Arabidopsis thaliana: one gene and its partner. The protein of the gene in region 2 interacts with the protein of the main gene of each other region in a pairwise test. Each region holds a gene or a part of one and is shown on either strand. Other genes may lie near its edges.

Region 1 (3,748 bases), on a different chromosome or scaffold from region 2:
CAACTTTAACAGCACTAGCTATGTTTCTGCCTTGGGGTCTGAAACCACCAAGAACGCTAATCGCCTGAGGGGTTAGACCCACATGACCAATAACCGCAATTCCTGCTTCAACTATAGCTTTTGCAGCAGTGATCCTAGAAGCTGATCCTCCTTCGAGCTTAATCGCATCCATTCCTCCTTCCTTCAAAACCCTAACCGCAGTATCAACCGCCTGAAGCCAACATTTAAACCCAAAATCAGGTCCCTAATTTGTTTCATTGACACAAAATCTTGTAAAGAATCTACTTTGCATAAGCAAGTACTAAAGCTAAATCTGTGATTACACAGGCAATGACACATTGACACATAATGTATCATTTAAGACTTTTTTTATCAAGAATCCAATCACCTAAACATTTGATCAGGAAATGAATTGAACATTGTAAGTCCCACTGAGTGTTGTGATTAATTCAGGTATTGAAATTGCAATCAAGAATCTAATTACCTACACAAAAATTAAGCAGAAGAACATGCCTTATCAACAAATATGTTTAATTTAGGTATCTAGAAGAAAAAAAGATTCAATTTTATAACATTACCTGACTAGAGCTTGACTCGTAGGTACCAAATGGCAAGTCACCAACTAGGAGAGGTCGTTTAGCGCCTCGAGCAACGGCACGACAATGAACAAGCATCTCGTCTAAGGAGATAGGAAGTGTTGTGTCGTGACCATGAACAACCATGGAAGCTGAGTCACCGACAAGACAAACATCGATACCAGCTGTGTCTAAATGAACGGCGGATGGGTAATCGTAGGCAGTTACGACGGTGATCGGTTCTCCTCTCCGGTGTTTTTGTCTGAGATGCGTTAGCGTCACTCTTTGGTTTGGGTTTTGTGGCTTTGGTCCTCCGTAGACGGTGTTTTCCGGTAGGTTACTCATGAAACGGACAGAGATGGCTTTTGAGAAGCGAGAGCAATTCCTAGTGAGTGAGGACGCCATTGTTGTGAAGATGAAGAAACCCTCTTATCTGTGACTGTGTCTGTGTTTACAAGAACAAGGAATTTTACTTTTAAGAAGATTCAATTCCTAGTGAGTGAGGACGCTGTTTAGATTCTGGCAAGTGGCGATTCAGTTCTGGGTTTCACACACAAATCAAGCATAGCAATGACACTGTTAGGAATTGTGATAGCTTAACTATAAATTCAATATTTTAACGAAATCAACAAGATCCGTTGTAGTCTAGCTGGTCAGGATACTCGGCTCTCACCCGAGAGACCCGGGTTCGAGTCCCGGCAACGGAGATAGTTTTAAAATATCTTTACTATATTAAACCGGATTTTGGTTCAGTCTGGTTATGTTAACCCAGTCTCTGTTTCTCTCTAGGCTCTAGCCTAACCCAGTCTCTGTTTCGATCTTATTGAACTTCTGTTCCAAAGGCGATTCCTTTTTTATTTTTCCGTTTCTGGGTTTAGATAGAGAAATGTAGAGATTGAGATCGCGGTTACTAGTTGGAACTCTCTTGGAGTTGGAGAGCATCCGAGGGTTCTGCACGAGCTCCTTTAAGATCGTAGCTTCGGTTCTTTTTTATGAGATTGCGCATTGTGATACCAAAACCGGATTCTACTGTTTACAGTTTCCAGGAGTTCAAGTAAAGACCAAACCATGTCTCTGTTTTTTAAGTCACACACGTGTGAGATGACGTGAAGGAATTTTTTGTTGTTGTTGGTCTGAAGTAGTTGAATGTAGTTGGCTTCTAAACCTTTTTATATATCTCTTCAATATAAATCACACGAAGAATTCTAACACACAATTCGTTGATTCATCATATCTCCTCTTCATTAATGAATGGCCTCGTCGACTCTTCTCGAGATAAGAAGATGAAAAATCCGCGATTTTCGTTTCGCACAAAGAGTGATGCAGATATTCTCGATGATGGTTATCGATGGAGAAAGTACGGTCAGAAATCCGTCAAGAACAGCTTGTATCCCAGGTAAACTTTTTAACATAAATAATCTGAAATTGTTTTTAAAAAGATTGTTTTTTTGTGTGTTTCTTCTCACTTATGATCATCAAAAGGAGCTATTATAGATGCACACAACACATGTGTAACGTGAAGAAGCAAGTTCAGAGGCTGTCGAAGGAGACGAGCATTGTGGAGACAACTTATGAAGGAATCCATAACCATCCTTGTGAGGAGCTCATGCAAACCCTAACTCCTCTTCTTCATCAATTGCAGTTCCTCTCTAAGTTCACCTAATTATGTTTGTATATATATTAACGTTCTAAGAGCATCTCCAATGGAAGTATCTCAATGAGATACCTAACAAAAGAAAAAAAATTAAAAAAAAAATATGAGAGAAGGGAGAAAAAGTAGGAGAGAAGGAGAGTTAAATTTCTCGGATGATTGGACAGGTGTAATCACACTATTAGTTCAACTATTAAATAATAATTAATGTATCTGTTTTGATTAAAATATTAATTAATATGTTTTTGAGAAACTTTCTTTATTTTTACTGGTGGAGATGGTCTAATGTTCCATGGTTCATATAACGGAGCAAATTAAAGCATTGTAATCATATATGTTTGCATGTTCATAGTTGCAATCTCGTTTTGATTATAAATCAGTTTTAAGCATATAACCAAAATAAAAAAACAAATCAATTGTAATATTCCGGTAAAACGATTACCACGTGATGATTATAGAGAGGCATAGAGCAATATCGTCTGGTAAACTGAATAAAACCGGATTTGGTTTCCATAGATTTTTCTCAAGCCAAATCAGTTTCCTTTCGTTTGAATAAACCTATTGGCTTATCGTGAGTGATTATTGTTTTGTTTATTTACACGATGAACAATGTCAATGAGACATGTCACATGTACGAAGTCAGTTCCGATATATTACATGAATTGCTTTCAAGTTTTGATCAGCATCCTTAAATAGTCACCGAAAATAAGAAGCGAACAAGTCTTGGCGAAGTTGAAGCCACAAAGTGTACTAATAAATATGGATTGCCGAATTAAAAGAAGAAACAAAAAAACTACATTTTCATATTTTTTTTCTTCTTCCATATATAAATCCACTTTTCAACTTAAGCAAATGCAATCAATGGGAAGGTAAGTATGTATACCTCTAAATCTCAAATAATCTTTAAAATTATAAAATATATATGTTTTGACTAATTTTAGGAAGATAAAATAATCTCTTATATTTTCATCTTCTTGGGATTATTTACCAAAAATTAATGTTTAGAAAGTAGTACTACTCAACATGTAGTTGTTAAATATCTTTAAAGTTTAAGTTTTGATAATGTTAAAATCTATTAAAAATAATTGGTCATAATAGTAAAACAACTAATAATTAATTTTTTAGGATATTGCTTAAAAGTTAAAACATATTGCTAATTTAAAAGTCATAATATACAAAATATAATTGTAGTATATTCTATAATAAACATGTTTCATCTTTTTTTCGGACGAGCAAAGAAGTAAGAACGCACGTTATGACCATGATGCTCTAAAAAAAGGATCTTATTCCTTTTCTAATGATGGAAAAATTATTATATTATTCCTTTTCCAACAACCAAAGAAAAATCAAAAATGTCACGCTCCGGCAATTAAGGTATTTATCATCCTTAAAAGAGGTACCAAAATATATAGAACCGACAGCGCCATAAACTTTAGAAAAGAGAGAGAGAGACAAAGAGAGATCTGATCCTTTGAAGAAACAACACCAAAAAAAAAAAAAAAAGAATGGCATCAGCGGATGA
Region 2 (3,746 bases):
TTCTTTGCTTTGCAACTTTAAAAATCGATTGGTTTCTCGTGATATTAACATTATAGTGGTTGGGGCCTGCAACTATTGCGATAATTGTACTAATTAGTGACATCAAATTACTGATAACCAATTCATAAATTGTTTTTCTGCGTGTCGACCTACTAATTAAATCGGGTTAAAGTAATGTATGTTTCAACTTTCAAGTTTTTTATTTCCGACTGTACCACCATCATGCTTGAATTGCATTGGGCCAGTATATTGGTATATTTGGCCCAATATGAAAAAATCAACGGTTGACTTCACGTAAAAACAGGTCAACGTTTTTGATAGACTAATGCCAAACAAAAAAAGTTCTTTTATTATTCTTAGGGATTGGTTTTGGAAAAAAAAAAAAAAAGGGATTGGTTTTGGTCCAATTAACAATCTCCTTTACCCTTAACAGCACCAGTGGCAAATTATGGCAAAATAATAATAATCAGTAGTAGCAAAAAACATTCAGTCCATTTAACCTCCCTATAAATATACTTCTAGATGTTTCCAATATAAATCGAGGTAATGTGTGATGGTTAATCTTTAGAAACATATTGGTATAACCTAACTTTTATCAAATCCACTTTTCTTTATATATAATTTTAAAATACTATAAAATTTTGAATATTACACATTCATTTGTTTCCTTTTTGAAAACGAGTGAAAGAGATATACATCTTTCTTTCTTTCTTTTTTTAACTTTTACAACTACATTTTTAATAGATAAAAACATTAACAAATGAAAAAGATAAGAACAAAACACTCTAATTTTTTTCTTCTTAAAATAAGAACTAGATTAAGAAAAGAGTTGACCATGATTGACTATATATAAAGATGCTTTGGTCATTAGTTTTCAATATATCCATAATTAATTAATCTATAATCACAAAATGGCAAATCTCTCTACTTTGATCACGATAGCTCTCCTCCTTTGCGCCACCATGCTAACGTGCAGCGCCCGCCCTGAACCTGCCTACTTCGCCTCCTTCACAACCTCTCCGGCGGATACACTTAGTCTGGTTAGTATTATATGCGTAAACACATGTTGAATGTTGATTCATGCGTAGTTATATATTTTCGTTTGTAATTTTATGTTTCATTGTGTTTCATCAGGAAATGATAGAATCAAAATTACATGAGGTGGCGGGAGAGAGCTGCGATAAAGAAGACGACGAAGATTGCTTGGTGAGAAGAACATTGACGGCTCATCTTGATTATATCTACACACATAAGAATAATCATCATTAATTAGCTGTAAAATTATTCTAACGTTAATTGTTGTGAATTTCAAATTATTCTCACATGTTAAACATGTGTATATAGAATCATTGATTAATTCAATTTATTCTTTTAATGAAAATATCAAATTATTCCCAATGTAGTTAGAATCCTTAATCAATCCAATTATGTTTTATTTTAATCAAAAGTCTTAACTCCCACAAATTATGTGTGTGTTACAGATAAATGACATAACAAATTAATTCTAGAATGCGAGTCTGAAAAATATATGATTACATCTTTCTGGTTTATTAAAAACAAACTAAAAATAAATACAAGAATGTTAAGCATTTCAATCAAAAGAAGCATTTTGCAAGAGTAGAAGCTACCATCTGGAAATATTTGCAGGATTTTGGAATGAGAAATCTCCCCAAGATGATGATGGATCAAACGCAAATGACGAAGAACTCTGCTTTGCTGCATCATCCGAAGTCTTGAGCGGTTTAGCCTGCACAGTCTCGTGCTCAGGTGCACCGGTTAGCCTCTGAACCAACACTTTGAAGTTTACTGGCTCGACTCGGTAGACATGAGGATGCATTGGATTCAAAGGTGATGATATTGCAGGCCTCTTCAAGGGCTTTGAAGGTTGTTTACGTGTCGAATGGAGCGAAGTTAGGTAATTTTTCGTTGCCCTTGTGGTGGTTTCTTGAGCGTTAAGGTAACTCTGAGACATAAATTGTTGTGATGTTGCTTCCATTGAGACTTGAGATGTCGCTTAAAATTCTTTGAATGTGAAAGTTATGTTCTTCTGATATTTATTGATCTTTGAATGTGAAAGTTATGTTCTTCTGATATATAATGATGGATGTGCAACATGTTCAACGAGGGTCAAGCCTTTGGTTTTTGACTCTTATTAGGGAATTGACTATTGAGAACATTGTTTGTTTTTCTTAGTTTTGTTTATGAGAATCATAAGTGAAAGGGGAATTTTCAACGTGTGTGTTCTTAATATTTTATTGATTTGATAGTTTTCGAAGTTTCTGATTAGGATTAAACTATTAAGAGGAAGATTCTTTAATCAAACTGAATTAATACTTTATCAAATATTATAATAAAGAAAGCTGTGGCTGTCCACGTGACGGTTTGATATTATCTGTAATGGTAAGAAGATTAAGTACTTATCAATAGCCTTCGGATTTGAATCTAATCGGATTCCTTGATCTTTTTATTTTATTTACTTTTATAACAAGTAATCTATTAGCCGTAACAAAAAAACAAACTAATCTATTATTTTGATTTCTAGTAATACAGTGCGCATAAGAGTCACGTCAGTCGGAACGTTAGAGAAAAAGGTAAATTTGAACGTTACATAACGGTAACTCTTTTGGTTTATTTCTTTAACTACGATGCTCTAGATATCTTTCAGATTTAAAACATTTGAGATATATATATATTTGGAAGAGGTCACATAAGATGATAATAACAAAGAAGCTTAACCTCTGTTCTCGTGGTTATTTGATTTGGTAGATTAGTCTTAAAATTGTCTTGAAATGGAAAATAAATTAGGCAGTCTTGAAAGAATCTACTTGAATTTAATTGTTCATATTGATATATAGGAAAAATAACAATCCTAGTTCTGTTTTATTAAGAAGATTAGTTTCTTTGAAAAACTAAAATATATGTCTGAAATGGATATTTGGGCATAAAGGTTTTTATTTTATTTTTAGATTAGTATATGATACTTGCATGATTATGTTGCACATAGTTTTCTGAAATTCAGAAGGCGTTGTAATGAAAATTTTGATTTGATTTTTGCAGGTTTTTTAGAAGAGCATAAACTCAACCGGAGTATGTAAAGAAAACGCCTTGATGATGAAAGTGATGATGTGCAGATGGAGTAGTGATGGAAGGAGAATGTCATAGAAGAGAGAAATCTAAATGCATCATTGGGATTGTGCCGTGCCATACTTTGATTGAGTGTGGAATGTGTATATATCAGATGTGTGACGAATGCTTGTAAAATATATTGATTCAAACTATATATCAAACTCAAGAATAAGAACAAGATTATGAATAAAAGACTCTCTCTTTTATTGCTTTAAGAAAATAACTCAAAACCTAAAAACACACAATCTTAATCTCTCAACTCATAAGTTTTGCAACACTCTTGCAACTCCTTTATATAAGAAAAGAACTAGACAATTTCCTAATCCTATTAGGAAAACACACATAAGTATTTAGGCAACTTCCTAAACACAAAGTCTAATTTTAATTTCCTTTTTGCTTGATTGCTTCTTCTTCAAGTAAGCTTCAAGCTTACTCCAACATTTTCCCCCTTAAGCTTGAAGCTACACTTTGTCATATCTTGAACTCCCACAAGATCTCTCATCTCTTTGAACTTGATTCTCCCGAGTGCCTTTGTTAGAATGTCGGCTCTCTGTTCGGTTCCGGGGACGTGCTCCACCTCAACTTGTTCATTCGCAACGCACTCACGAATAAAGTGATAC

The links. Proteins that work in one complex are often made in the same cells at the same time.
Region 1: the proteins of AT4G37710 (region 2) and WRKY43 interact in binary tests that used the Arabidopsis thaliana proteins (3 or more experiments, as listed by UniProt).

The regions. Positions count from the first base shown.
Region 1 is NC_003071.7:18,955,432-18,959,179, forward strand, and holds WRKY43 (WRKY DNA-binding protein 43), read left to right. Parts: upstream 1-1,780; 5' UTR 1,781-1,822; coding exon 1,823-1,971; intron 1,972-2,057; coding exon 2,058-2,238; 3' UTR 2,239-2,494; downstream 2,495-3,748. Other genes in the region: KPHMT1 (ketopantoate hydroxymethyltransferase 1), read right to left, coding at 1-211, 579-980; AT2G46140 (Late embryogenesis abundant protein), read left to right, coding at 3,732-3,748. UniProt on the Arabidopsis thaliana protein: Transcription factor. Interacts specifically with the W box (5'-(T)TGAC[CT]-3'), a frequently occurring elicitor-responsive cis-acting element.
Region 2 is NC_003075.7:17,716,484-17,720,229, reverse strand, and holds AT4G37710 (VQ motif-containing protein), read right to left. Parts: upstream 2,103-3,746; 5' UTR 1,997-2,102; coding exon 1,625-1,996; 3' UTR 1,459-1,624; downstream 1-1,458. Other genes in the region: PSK6 (phytosulfokine 6 precursor), read left to right, coding at 912-1,040, 1,135-1,269. UniProt on the Arabidopsis thaliana protein: May function as negative regulator of flowering transition.